Daphnia pulex: one gene and its partners. The main gene of each other region encodes a partner of the protein of the gene in region 3 in a complex. Links are inferred from orthologs where the notes say so. Each region holds a gene or a part of one and is shown on either strand. Other genes may lie near its edges.

The links. The genes of interacting proteins can lie anywhere in the genome.
Region 1: THO complex subunit 1-like (region 3) and SAP domain-containing ribonucleoprotein-like share a complex: the UniProt entries of both Homo sapiens proteins name them as parts of the transcription/export (TREX) complex. The link is inferred for Daphnia pulex from reciprocal best matches to the Homo sapiens genes THOC1 and SARNP.
Region 2: the proteins of THO complex subunit 1-like (region 3) and THO complex subunit 7 homolog are in contact, whole or in part, in a cryo-EM structure (PDB 7APK), measured with the Homo sapiens proteins. The link is inferred for Daphnia pulex from reciprocal best matches to the Homo sapiens genes THOC1 and THOC7. Residues at the interface, in NP_005122.2 of Homo sapiens: Leu10, Arg14, Glu46, Gln53, Arg56, Glu60, Ile63, Ile64, Asp99, Asp102, Cys103, Leu104, Pro105, Arg146, Gln151; in NP_079351.2 of Homo sapiens: Tyr47, Gln51, Leu54, Ser55, Ser58, Gln59, Phe62, Gly65, Lys66, Leu69, Val70, Met73, Arg76, Glu77, Asn80, Ile84, Ile88.
Region 4: THO complex subunit 1-like (region 3) and THO complex subunit 3-like share a complex: the UniProt entries of both Homo sapiens proteins name them as parts of the transcription/export (TREX) complex. The link is inferred for Daphnia pulex from reciprocal best matches to the Homo sapiens genes THOC1 and THOC3.

What each region holds. Positions count from the first base shown.
Region 1 is NC_060024.1:915,590-918,768, forward strand, and holds SAP domain-containing ribonucleoprotein-like, read right to left. Parts: upstream 1,954-3,179; 5' UTR 1,817-1,953; coding exon 1,796-1,816; intron 1,644-1,795; coding exon 1,550-1,643; intron 1,478-1,549; coding exon 1,410-1,477; intron 1,352-1,409; coding exon 1,242-1,351; intron 1,175-1,241; coding exon 850-1,174; intron 789-849; coding exon 609-788; 3' UTR 501-608; downstream 1-500. UniProt on the Homo sapiens protein: Binds both single-stranded and double-stranded DNA with higher affinity for the single-stranded form. Specifically binds to scaffold/matrix attachment region DNA. Also binds single-stranded RNA. Enhances RNA unwinding activity of DDX39A.
Region 2 is NC_060023.1:12,053,787-12,056,617, reverse strand, and holds THO complex subunit 7 homolog, read left to right. Parts: upstream 1-1,285; 5' UTR 1,286-1,432; coding exon 1,433-1,442; intron 1,443-1,503; coding exon 1,504-1,624; intron 1,625-1,690; coding exon 1,691-2,117; 3' UTR 2,118-2,331; downstream 2,332-2,831. Other genes in the region: ataxin-7-like protein 1, read right to left, coding at 20-107; transketolase-like, read right to left, coding at 2,352-2,831. UniProt on the Homo sapiens protein: Component of the THO subcomplex of the TREX complex which is thought to couple mRNA transcription, processing and nuclear export, and which specifically associates with spliced mRNA and not with unspliced pre-mRNA.
Region 3 is NC_060026.1:6,262,967-6,267,104, forward strand, and holds the start of THO complex subunit 1-like, read right to left. Parts: upstream 2,801-4,138; 5' UTR 2,685-2,800; coding exon 2,643-2,684; intron 2,563-2,642; coding exon 2,480-2,562; intron 2,419-2,479; coding exon 2,126-2,418; intron 1,924-2,125; coding exon 1,701-1,923; intron 1,642-1,700; coding exon 1,536-1,641; intron 1,470-1,535; coding exon 1,201-1,469; intron 1,138-1,200; coding exon 1,008-1,137; intron 945-1,007; coding exon 736-944; intron 681-735; coding exon 537-680; intron 463-536; coding exon 315-462; intron 1-314. UniProt on the Homo sapiens protein: Component of the THO subcomplex of the TREX complex which is thought to couple mRNA transcription, processing and nuclear export, and which specifically associates with spliced mRNA and not with unspliced pre-mRNA.
Region 4 is NC_060028.1:7,657,440-7,661,044, forward strand, and holds THO complex subunit 3-like, read right to left. Parts: upstream 2,377-3,605; 5' UTR 1,923-2,376; coding exon 1,743-1,922; intron 1,676-1,742; coding exon 1,519-1,675; intron 1,459-1,518; coding exon 1,254-1,458; intron 1,188-1,253; coding exon 1,026-1,187; intron 950-1,025; coding exon 697-949; 3' UTR 501-696; downstream 1-500. UniProt on the Homo sapiens protein: Component of the THO subcomplex of the TREX complex which is thought to couple mRNA transcription, processing and nuclear export, and which specifically associates with spliced mRNA and not with unspliced pre-mRNA.

The sequences.
Region 1 (3,179 bases), on a different chromosome or scaffold from region 3:
CCGAATATCTAGTAAAATCGCGTAGAGAAAAAAATATTATAGCCTATTATTGCAGCATTTGAGTTGTAATATGCTTTTGTAGTACAGGGGACTTACTTACTGTTCCTGTCCCTCATGGTATAGGACCATGCTGTCTCTTTCCAGATTTCTAAAAAAGCGTCCTACACTACATAGTGAGGGTTTTGAACCCACACTTTATTAGTGGCGGGTTGCTTATTACCTTTGCACGATTATTTCCCTTCCAACTTGAATTTTCTACATTAACCTAAACCGCTACTCCCTTCGACTTGCCACTAGCCTAGAACTCCCTCACTAAATTTCATCTCTTTGTTTCATGCTGCTCTTTTCTTTATAAAATCAAGTGAAATTGCGCACCAACATATCAGGTTATTTCAATTACAAACTAGAAACAAAACAACTCCGCCGACCAACCTAACTCGGACCCATGAGAAAATGTGTTTCAAGTATACACCAAATTAGTATTTTTTTTTTTATCGGGATAAGAAATCAGGTCACATTTAATTTTAAAAAACTAAAAATTTTGTGATCGAACCAAGTCTTTGTTTCATTTAACTGTACGTCAATTAATAAACTTTAAAACGAACATTTCAGGCAAGTCCGAAACGTTCAGCACGTTTGCGCTTCTGTTCGTCAGAACTGCCGACCGCAGTGCTCGTAGTTCCGAATCTCTCTGCTCGCTTCTGTTTCTTCTCATCAACTTCGGAATTAGAATTAGAAACGACGCCAAAGCGAGCTTGCCTTTTCAGAAGTTTGTCATTATCAGGAACCTTAAATAAAAATTCACTACATGAAAACACGAAGAACGATGAGCTGATCAATCGAAAATACCTGAGGTTTTGATGTGTTTGATTCTGTGCTATTTGTACCGCCAAATCTTTCTGCTCGAACAGCTTTCTTCACAGAATCGGGAATAGGAACACCAAATTTCTGTGCTCTTAGTTTGGCTCTTTCTTCGGCAGATAAGGAACCAAGTTTAATCACCTTCTTTTCTTCCTTTGAGTCAGATTCATCACCTTTATTGGCATCATATTTAAGGTGGTCGTCATTTTCCTGTGAAACTGTGCCAGAATCTGATGGAGGAGTTACCACCTTTCTGTTCAAGATGATTTTTTTATGGGGAGAAACTATTTCATTCTTCGAGTCCTGAACAGTCCTGAAATATTATTCATTTCATCATTAATCTTGAGGCAATTATTTTCCAAACAAACAGAGTAACTAACTTTTCAACTGTAACTTTGGGGGCACTCAATGCAGTAGGTGTTAAAAGAACTGCATCATCTTCTTGGGCGATCAAATTTGCATTTCCTTCCTCTAAAATAGCTTCTTCATCCTATACCAAAAATAAAATTGCATAAGTTTATCACATTGTATAAAACCAATGTTCTTACTGCTAAAACTGCCTCCTCATCCAAAAGGTCATCATTGTCTAAGGCGCCATTATCTCCAGTATCGTCATCTTAACATCCACGGAAAAAAGCTTGAACATAAACATGGAAACAGTTTAATAATCAAAATGATAAAAGTTTACCTTGCACAGCATCTTGCAGTCTTTCCATCAATTCATTTTTAGTGCCAATGGTGCTGAGGCCTCGTGTTTTTAACTCTTTTTTAAGGTCCACAACCTAGCATGAAAACAACAGTCAAGATGAAATGCACACAGTAGGCCTATCACTAGTTCAAAAACATAATAGACATTTGATTTGACAAACTCAATCAGGATTCTAAGTTGGAAATATTGACAAGTTTCACTCAAATATAAAGTTAAGCGGGTTACTTTTAATTTAGAGATGTCCATGATTGTGATGATAATGATGACGTTTGTCTGTACCGGCGTCTCAAACTTTCAATGAATTACAATTGGAACGCGCAACGCGGTAACTTGAAAGTAATTCGACTTTTGAATGCCAGTGTATTGTTTCAGAGGAGAAATTGCGTATGCTTTTGCTGGCTTCTAAACTAGTGATCTCTATCGGGCGCATCCTGTACTAAAGTAGTGTCACCTATCGTCAATGCAAAAAGTTTGTCCGAGTCATGTTGCCATGTTAGTGTGTTACTAGCCAACAATGAGAAAGAAAACCCTCGAAAAAGTAATCAGCCACGTAGGATAACTCTGGTAGGATTTTGAAAAAAAATAGTGAGAAATTAATTTTAAGCGATGGGTTTCTCGGACAAAAAGGCTACGCATAAAACATTGCAACTACGTTATTTCTGTAATCGCAAATGATCAAACTCATTGTCAAAGTAATTTTTTTTTTTTAATTTAAAGAGCTTGATAAAAACTTCATAAAATATCTTGTGATAAACCAAGTAAAACTGATTGGCTTAACTAACTAGTGTGTGTATTGTAAATCAATGATTTTAAATTTCATCGTAACATCGTAGTGAATTTTGAATTTTTGATTCTTTTCCCGCTCAAAGAACAAGAAAGTGACAAAAAGTAACGTGTTTTAAGACAAGCAAACAGTTCAAGCTGCAATAGTTATATAATGAATGAGACAAATGCTCAAGCCGTGTATTTCGCTTTGACATGAAAATACGTGCGCGCAAAAAGCACTTTCACGACGACGCTCAGCTTCGGACAGTAGGCAATGTTTACGTAGCGAGCGACACATCTCAAAGGAAGAAAAAAACAATGGTCTTTTCGCGTCTTTTTCTTTCTTTTTTAACAAAAAAAAACAAAAAAACAAAAACAAACAACCAATTCGCAGAAACGTGGCTATATTCCGGCAAGGAGTAAAAGGTGGGTAAAAGGAGAACACCAATTGCTGTGGCAATATCCAACTTGTGCGAGGCAATCGATTTCTGTTTTTCTTTTTTCAAGGCACGCACAACTTAACTATATATATCATTTACTGCTGAGGACAATTATGGTTTTACACGTTTCCAATAAGGGATTGGGGGGGGGGGGTTAAACGGCACGACGGTAGTCGATTTGTCTGGTCCCGGGATACTGTTGTAATAAAGGATATACAGTGATGCCCAATGATTTTCTTATGTTTTTTCACTATTCTTGGGACCCAATTTTTAAGCCCATTCTGAAATGGCGTCAAATTTTCTCTTTTTAGCTTATCGGGAATTGTTTTTGTTTTTTCCCCGATAAATACACGTTACACGCAACACTACAGCGATCATCATTCATCAACTTGTAAGCGATTGGT
Region 2 (2,831 bases), on a different chromosome or scaffold from region 3:
TATAAGGCAATTTACTCACTTAATGGACTATCTCTGCCTAATCTATCAGCCCAAACAGACCAAGGCTGGCCATGAAGACTTGTTGGACTGTCATCGTTGGACGCCATCTTTGTTAACAGAAAATTTTTTCTTAATTTCTCCTCTCCGAGACTCCGTCTTCTTTCCTCACCTGCAACAGCGTTGCAACTATAGTGAAAGCAGCTCGGCAGCTACCACTGCCCTTGATGCCTTGCCTCCTCTAATTACTCTATGGCATTAACACCCATTGGACTATTTCAAAATTACCTTTAATATAGTACTTGTATATTTTTCCTAGAATTAAAAAATGCGTTGCGTTTCTTTGCCACTTGAAGACCTTAATGTGTAAGCGTACTAAAGTTGTTGATTCTATTCGTTGGCAATTTATGAAATTTTATGATGATTTAATGATGAAATTATCTTCTAGCGAAACGTTCTAGCAATAATTTAAATCCTCAATCGTCCGTCTATTTTTTTTTTAATTTTGGCAAAAGATTTTATGCATTGCGGAACTCAAAAAGTACATTTTTCTTTGCGCTAAGTATCTTTTTACAATTTTCACACATGGACTGCAACAAGTATGACTATGAGAACAAGCTGCACATAATCATAATGACATCAACTGATAAACACATATGTGAAAATTCCCCATTGAGGTACCAAATCTCTCTCAACTCAGTTATTTTATATTACCAACCAATCAACCATCTGACATCTTGACAAATACAACCATTAATTGACATGCACCTTTTATACTTACAAATAAATGTTGTTTGTAAGTATCTTGCACCCAAAATTATTTTTTCACTGTCAGTTACACACCTGTTTAAAATGAATCTGTCAATCTTGATCACCAATCTCAATTTTCAGGACAATAAAAACAGGTTTTCCTAGAATGTAAGGCAACAGTTTAATTAAAAAGAAGAGATTGACGTTAATCTGGAAACGAGAAAAACAACACTCCAGATCCAGCATTTCATTGGATTCTTTCCTTGACATCACCTGATTGATTCTAAACCGTTCAATGGTTTCCCAAGTATATTGCTGATCTGCTGGACTAGCTCTCTTTCGGTTTTGCTAATGTTTATACAGGCATGCAAGTTTAACCCTAAACAAAATAGATACCTAATCAATCGGATGATTTTTTAAAAAGCCATGTCTCCTTCCTTTCATTTGAGGGGCGTGTCGTCTGCTGGCGGATTTAAAAAACAAAACAAAAGACGAGCGAACTACGCTTACGGCAGACGAAAATATTTTTTCATTTTTCAGTACTTTCCGGCGTTTCCGCAGCGACATTTCTCCTAGGTTTGTCATCTCATTCTTTCGCCCGGTTTGACATCTCAATATTCTCAAAGCTTTACCAGTTAAATTGTATTATTATTGGTCTTATTTTGATCCCAATCATTATTCACAAATGGGAGATGGTAATTTGACTTGTTAGTAATATTATTTCGGTTAATTTTCATCTTGTACTTCGTTATGTAGAAGAGATCATCCGAAGGAGGCTGTTGTTTGATGGCGAAGGAACTGGTGATGAAAGAAGACTTAATGTATTGCTTAAAGGTTTCCTAGCTTGGTGCAACTCTACAGATAGTGTTGAAGAAACGTAAATTAATCTTTGTATAAAATTCTTCTATACTCTATATGTGATGTATTTTTATTTGTTTTACAGACAAGCATCCTACGCTAGAATGATTGGTCAGATTGCCCAATGTGAATTTGCTGCCACAAAATCCTTGAGGTGCTGTGAAATGAACACTGCAGAACAGCAGCACTATGACGACCTCTACAACCAGATTGAAGAAGGAATTGTGTCAGCTAAAAAAGACATTGAAGCAACCAAGAAGGAGTTGCAAGAAGCAAGACAGATTCGCAGGAATAAAATGGAATATGATGCTTTGGCTGCCATTATTCAAACACAGCCTGATCGAAAGAGCAACCAAGAGAAATTATCCCTATTGCGACAGGAACTGGAAGCTTCAGAATGTGAATGTCAAAAACTGGAGGCCAAATTAGAACAAAGACGCAAACAATTTCACTTACTCATTTCAACTATCCAAGGATTACAGCAACTTCTTAACGATGATGAAGCATCCTAATAATTGTTCATTTTGTATGCATCCCTTTTTTCTATTTTTGAATAATAATGCTAACAAATAAAAATCATTTGAAACACCAAAAAAGCTATGTATGAATAAACTATCCAAACGGTACATATACGACTTGGAATGCCATAGAAGAATGTTTCAAAAAACACCACCAATTCTTCTCAACTATCCATAGACCTCTGGTAAGGAATGGGTATAGGAATGAGTGACTTAAAAAAAGGGCGTTTACAACGCAACAAGTTTTTTCGCGGCTTCGGCAATAGCCTTGGCGCCGATTCCAAAATGTTCTAGGAGAACCTCTGGAGGACCGGAGCGGGGAACTTCGCGAACTGCCAAAATCTTGACGATAATATTTCGTTGTTCGGCTAGAGTTGAAGCAACAGCCTCACCCAATCCACCTTCTGGGTAATGGTCTTCAACGGTCAAAACCCGGCCGTTGCAACGAGTGGCTTCCTTCAACAGCAAATCGTGATCAATGGGTTTGATGGTAAATGGATCGATGACAGCAGCCTTGATGCCGGCTTCCATCAGCATGTCGGACGCCTTCAGCGCTTCGTGGAGTGTAACGCCGGCGCCAACGATAACCAAATCGTCTTGATCGTGACTACGAACAACGTGACCCTTTCCAGCAGAGAAAACTTGTTCGTTCTCGTAGATGACGGCTGTGTTGGGGCGAGATGTACGAATGAAGCAAATTCCTTTGGT
Region 3 (4,138 bases):
ATCATATTATTTGAATAAGCCAACTACAAAACCAGTAATATATCAAGATTATCCAGGGATTTCCAGACAAATGAATGTGAAAAATTACCTGACACCTAACAAACTCGTCTGTATTTCTTCTGGATCAACTATTTCAAAATCTTTGTTTAACAGCAAAACCCGTGCAAAAGTTATGAGTCTCGATAACAAAATTCAAAATACCTCAAAATATTAAAAAAAAATATATATATATATTCCCAAATGAGAACCTAAATCCCTGACTTTTCCCTGTATTGCAGAATGGGAACCGTGATATTCATCTGATTTTACTCTACCTGCATGTCCTTGGCCAGTTTGCGAACGTGCGTTTCCAAGTAATCTGGCAGCCGAGTGATAGGAGTATTACCATGAGTGAAGAAATGTAAACTTCGTCTAGCCAAAAGCCGCAAAGCACGCCACCCAAAATTAGCCTCACTAACTCGCCTGGAAACACGAAAATCGCTCATTCAGTTAAAACATTTTCGGAAAAATGTAAGCTTTAAAGTGCAAATTTTTACTTGTACTGGCTTTCCACTGAAGGATCCAGTTGCTCAATGGCTTCCTCAAAATAGTTTTCTAATGTAGGTAGAAAATCTCGATCTTTAGATCGACAGGCAGCCATGTTATCAGGACATAGATTCCACAAACGATTCATCTCAGCGCTAAAGAGAAAAAGCTGTAATTCAATGTTTTCAAATAATTTCATAATTTACCTACTTTCCAATAATGCACTTATTTCTTTTTGAAGCTTCTCGAATCTGATCTCCAAGACTTCTTTTGAGCCGTCTTGGTCGGCCAACTACGATCGTCTTTTTTTCTCCATTGGTACCATCTTTTATAGTATCATTATCAGTGGTTGAGCTGGTTATGCTGGGCCGGAATTCCGGGCAGCCATCGTTCTTCCAGTTGCTCCATAATTCTTCCCGCTACATCCAACAAACACCGATGGATGATATTTTTTAAAACTACTTTTATACAACTCAGTATACCTTTAGTATGTGTCGAATAGATTGGACGAAAGAAGCGCCATCTGGAGGTGTATCTTTCAATAACCGATAGACTTGATCGATAGCCTCGGAAACCCACGTAGTTTGTTCTTCGTTGAGCTTGTGAGTTTCGCTATAAATAGAAGCAATTCAAGCGGTTGAAATAGTCTAACTAATGAAACTTATTGAAACTAACTGTTTAAACTTGACAGGTGAATCCAGATATTGGAACATAATCAGAAACTGCAGCAGAATGTAACGTCTGAAGTTGGAGTCACCGAGCTGAAGTTCGAGAAGATTTTGACTCGTCAAATATTTGGCGAAATATTGTTGGACATTTCCACCATTCATGCTGGTTTCATTCATATCGATGTTTAATGCCACATCTGCCTCATCCCATTTAGAGCGGTTTCTCCGCTCATCCAGTTTGATAGTAGAAAATGCAGACAAAACATCACTAGTATGCTAAAGAATAATTGTTTTTCTGTTAGATGGAAAATTTTAACTTGAAATACTTGATGTTTTAGCTACCAAACAAAACGTTTTCCACGGGATTTTCGTATAGCACTGATTAGGGTTTCGAAAGAAATCTTGTAGGGACCAAAATTTTTTGTACAGATTGTAGTCGGAGCTCAAACTACAAAACAAGAAAATTTAGAAAAATATTGCAATAACTTGTCAATCAAATATATATACCTTTCTTCTACTTCCATTGCATCCTTGTGCTTTTCAGAATTAGCAGATATATCAGCAGCGTAGCTTTCATCTTTAGCTCCAAATGTCGTCAAATTATCCAAATTAAATTCGCTTACTACGTTAAGTCCGGATCGTTCAGAGAATGGGAAAAATTTTGCAAGAAATAGAAGAATTCGACCACAGAAAACCGTGTTCTGGCTTCGGGACAAGCGCCTCAGCAGATCTGAAAAAAAATATACATATAAAATTCATTTCAGCAACACAACTCACATAAAGCGAAACACTGTAAATGAATTTAGCAGAGTGGTATACATTGAAATAAGAGTAATGGATTGAATTCATATCAATACAGAATTAGATGCATCCAGTTACATAAATATTTGTGTCATACATTATTAGAATTTTGGAAAAATGTCTTTACATACCATTGCAAAGGCGAAGTAAGGTATTTTTACACTGATTGAAGAAAAGCTCTTGTTTCCAAATCGCTACTTTCATTTCAACCATGTAGAAAATTTCCTCACATTTTTCCAGAGACAGGATGTCAAAAGCATCTGTGAGCAAAATCACAGGCAGTGTTGGAGAACATACTAGAGCTACTGCACAATCCAGACTCAACTGCAACAACTTTTCAAACAATGGTATGGAAAAGTTTGAGGAATCACTCAAAAATCTGTCTCTAAACGCCTGATCCCATACAGCTTTTTTATCAGCTTCCCTACAATAAATATGTTTAATTACAATAATATGTAAATACTTTCTGCTTTGATTAAATTTACCCAAGATGAGCTGTATTGTTAACTGAAAGTAATTCACTGATAGTGGGTGGACCACCCAGTTTAAGAGCTTCAGAAATGGAATCCTACAGAAACCAAACACAGAAGACATAAGATTTTTCAATTTATTTCAAATATGGCTCATTGATAGATTTTTTTACTGTACCAGAAACGAACACCGAGTTTTCTCAAAATCAAATATTTCCATTTCAGTGGTTTTTTTACAAAGTAAGAAACATAAAAATAGTCGTGTTTTCGAAACGATCAGACGACGCTTCAAAACTTGGTTGCGTTGCCAAGTTTGTAAATTGCAATGTTGCCATTCTAAAATCAACTTGATTTTTTTTTCCGAATCCCGGAAAGCGGAAATTCTGGAAAGAAGTAAATGTCAAACCATTCAAGTTTAACTAATAAGTAATCGGTGATAATCAAATAATTTATCTGTTCAAAGAATATGTTTTGACTGAGATTACCGTTTTGACGTTTTCATACAAAAATGTTACTCGATTATCATCCCCTAGATGGCGAGTCGACGGATCAATAAAAATGGTGTTCTACAAAAGAGAGTCCTTTTTTGAAAAATCATCTAACGCGGGACTGCACCGAGTTTAATAAAGATAAAATTCCCATATAAAAACTACCTAATTTTAAGACATTTCTCATGTTTAATGTAATCGACAATAAGTAGCCTTTTTGAACTCAATATTTTCAATAGCATTCCAATGCTACTCATTTCACTACTAAACAATATTTAAGCGCATTCAAATACTCGAATGTTTTCAACTTCCATTCGTATTACTTTTATCATTTGATTTCCTATGAAAATCGGCAGGTATTGCCTGCCATATTACAACTACAGTATCGACTGCACTATCTACCGAGATTTCATAACCTTGTTCTAGTCTCTATATTTGAACTACCTCTGTTTGCTTACGAGCTCTGATTTTATGTCTACTTCCTGAAGTGCACCAGGAAAAGGCATAGAGGATTAGAGATATCGATTCTTTACTGCAGGGAACCGCCGTTTGTGGCACTTTTTAAAATCCTATTTCGCCTTTGATCATCTCAAATAAGAATAAATTAAAAGGAAATTATTAGTAGCATTATAAAACACCAGATAAAAGATATAAAATTTTACTTATTTCAAACCAATTTATCTGTGTCATTTGGACTGCAGGACGTCATCAACGAAAGATGACGCGGCACGTAAGCTGAAGCAAGAAACGCGAATCCTTAGGCCTTATTCTATTGTAATTAAACATGTAGATGGCGATCGCTTTGAGAGCCTTTAATGAGAAGAAGTTGTTTTCTCTGTTCAAATCGTCCCTGTGAACGAATAGAAGAAGGATGATTGCCAAAAACTTTGTCGATTTGTTTTTTATTTGCTGGCTACAATAACTCTTTGTCAAGCCTTTAATGTAATTATCTTGGGTTATTTACTCTCTGCATTGGCTAGTAACAATTGATGGGAGTAAAGGATAACTCGCAAAACATTACTATATCTCAAGCTAAAGTACGCAAACAAAACAGTCACAACGCTGTCTCCAGGGCAAAATGCCAAGATGTACTTGTACTTTGAAGTATCAAAATTGACAAAAAGTTGGTTTTTTCCCCGGTTTGCTATCAAAATTTCTCAACTTCACCAGGATAAAGGAAAAAATA
Region 4 (3,605 bases), on a different chromosome or scaffold from region 3:
CACGAGAAGCATTCCGAGTATTTCACGTTCTAGCTGCGGAGAACAATGAACATGAATCTACTCGAGCAAAACGATACATTCGTCTATGTGCCGCTTTGCTGCCTATATATGGGTGTGTGTGTTTAGTGTTTACCAACTACCGTTACGAAATATCAAACGACATTTTAGCCTTGTACATAATCAACGGCACGTATGATGTAACACAAACTATCAATCTATCTGTTTCTACGAAATATGCTTATTATCACGACAACTTAAATTAATTTGCCTTTAGTAATAGAATAAGGATAGGAATAAGTCTTACCTAGATGGACTGCTTGCATAAAAGCGTCGTATTTCTTTAAACGTTAACGCCCTGTTTTTTTCATTATTGACTAAAAATTTGTGCCGAACGGTCATCACCTTTTAACAAATATGGGATCTAGTAATAACGAAAATTATTATTGAGTAATTAATTATGTTTGAACGTTAAAAAAAAGGGAAAATGTGTCCTGGAACAATTCAGTTTTCTGGAAAAGATCTCTGATCTGAGATCCATTTTACTTGTATCTCTCTCAACACAGTTGAAGTTTGTAAGCTTGGCAAATAGTTCTTGACAAGAGTAAACAAGAAAATCTGCAAGTGAAAAAATAAAAAAAAAAAAGCTGGATTCTGTATAAAACACGAGACCTCCTAGTTTTGATTCGTATGGGCCCATCACTCGTTAGAGAGACCAAAGAGCTTCACAGTTCCGGCGTCTCTGTTTCCGTCGTCTTTATCGTCACAGGCGTAGGCCAGCAGGTGAGAGCGTGGATGCCAGGCGACTGTGAAGGTTGGCGTGTCAACTGGAATGCTGATAACGCGCTCGCCTGTACCTACGTGGCTGACGTCGATCAGCAAGTCCTCTGACCCGGACGCCAACATGGACCCATCGTGACTGAAACTCAATGTCCGAACTGGCCAATCCAACCTAAAGGGGAAACACCCAGTCAGTAATTGAATAACCTCAATAGAAAACGGCACGTTATTATTGGCATTAATGTTACTTGGAGAAAGTGCGCAAACAAGCAATTTCATCGGCATCCCACAGAGAGACTAGGGCGTCGGCCGACCCAGTGGCAAAGTACCGTCCAGTGGGGTCGAATTCGATGCAAATGCAGTTGGCGGGGTGAGCCTGTGTGACGTGAACGGTCGTAAGCTCTGGGTAACTAGATACAAGAGAATTGATAGCGTCATGCTAGATTGAAAGCAGGGGGAAGAAAATTCATCATTACTCTAATATGTGGATGCAGCCTTGCCCACTAGTCAAAAAGAAAAGATTGCTAGCCTTGTTCCATTCTATTTCGTTGACTTCAAACTTGAACGGATGTTCTATTTTAATCTTAAAATTCCTGGCATCAATAAAAGTAACAAGGTCTTCCTTATTTCCCACTGCAATGGAATTTCCATCAGGTGACCACGTGATGTTGATATTTTCTCCTGTCAAATCACATTAATGAAGGATTGAATGTTTAAGCATAATTTCGTAATTAATTGTACCCTTGGTGTTTACTGTGGCGACACTCTTTTTAACTCTTGCATCCCAAACTCTCATGGTTTTGTCTCCACTGGCGGTGCTGAGCAAATCAGGATTGGTTTCGTGCCAACATAGCTGATCGACACTGTCATTGTGTCCCACAAACGTTTGCTCCTTAACCTGAAACAGAATGCCTCAAGCTCCATTATAATTGCTGCATGATTGATAAGCCGGGACTAATACTAACCAGTCTGTCGCTTTCCATAGTAAAAATGCACACCGTCTTGTCAAAGGAACCCGACGCTAACCGTCTTCCATCGCAATTCCAATCAACCGTGTGAACCTTGGCCGAATGTGCAGAGACTTCCCTCGTTCGAGTGTGCGTTTTAAAATGATTTTTCAGCTCTTCCAATTCGGCGACTGCCATCTTCTTATAATTTCGGGAAAAAAAAGCGGTTTATATACCTTTACTCGCGTGTCAACAAAACACAGTGTGTGCAGACGAACTAACGCGAAGCCGGTCGTCCCGCCATTTCCAATGCCAAGTCTCTTCTTCATCCGCCAGATGGCAGTTGGAGCGCGAAATTTGAAATTCCTAACTCACTAATAAAAGAAAAAAGGGGTCGGGCAAGGAATGCGTGGTGGTAATGTCGTCTCCTCAATTGGCTCTGATTAGTCGGACGTTAAACGATACGTTTATCGACTGGCTGGCCCAAAATAACAAAAATAAAATAAAAAAGGCGTAGGGTGGGCGGATAGGTGGAAATGCTTTTGTTACCAAACACGGGACACACACCGTAATCAAGCGTGACTAGTACACACACACACACACACAATGAACTCAACAAGCGAAGGGCGTCCAGCCTCTATCAGACGAGATCTAGCTGCATGAATATTATACTCTCTCTCCCAAGTCCCAGCTACACATATAAACTATAGCTGTGGAGCTTGCGCCATTTTGAATGTTATTACACGTCCGATAAATATATATATATCTACACGGCAATAATATGCGCCAAAGCCAAAAGAACCGAGTCCAAATCAACTGGGATGGGCAGCAGCAGCAGCAGCTATGCCCGTTTCTTCAAAAACTACGACTATATAGATTTCAGTTTTCTTATATTTTGTTCTTTTTTTCTTTCTTTCACAGCGCGCAATCATCAAATGATCCGTGTTTGGGCATCGGGGTAATATAAAGCAACAAAAAGTCGTAGTCTCTCTCTGCCAGTGCATGCTGGACCCACAGCGCCGGCACACAGCACATAAGACATCTACAACAACTACAACCAGAACGGCTTCTATATAACGCTAACGACTAACGAGTTAGCATCGACTTTACAAGAATTTACAGCTGTATAGTCGATGGAAGAAGAGAGCGGGGGTAGTAAGGAGAAAAAAAAGGGAAATTTACGAGTCCCCCTCTTCTTCTTCTTCTAGGAGAGAAAAGAAAAAGAAGACGGCCATAAAATAAGCAAATTTCTTGCCCGTTAACTGACGATAAAAGCGACTGGGCGTCCAAGCGCGCCTTGTGGCCTGGCCTGGCCTGGGCTGCTGCTGATGCTCCTACTGGACCTCCTTTTTCTTTGGCTGCTCTCTCCATCATTACACACACCAAAAGAACTTCTTCTTCTTCTTCTTCTATTTTGATAGCCAATCGGTCCCGTGTGTGCGTAATAACATATCGCAGTCGTAAATCTGCGAACGTCTCGTTTCGTTTTGCCCAAAAAGATTCTTTTTCTCTCTCTTTCCCTGGACCTTTTGGCTGGTCACTGGACTCGTCTCGTTGGCCTATACCCAAAGAGTAGTAAAATAAAAATATATAAGAAATAAAGGAAAAAAAAGGGTTTTTTTTCCTTCTATTTTATTTAAAACTCTTCCTTCTCCCCTTCAAATGAAAACGTCTATAGGGTAATACGATTCCGATGATACGCTTTTTTGTTGCTGGTGTGCCTCGACACTTTATGGAGATTGGACCCGCTGGCCCGTTATATATATCCCGGTGATTTACAACGCGGATATATATATATATAAATACAGCAGGGCAGCTCTGCTGTGTGTGTTGTAACATTAAGTATATAATATATATAGGAGAGTTTCTATTACAATAGGC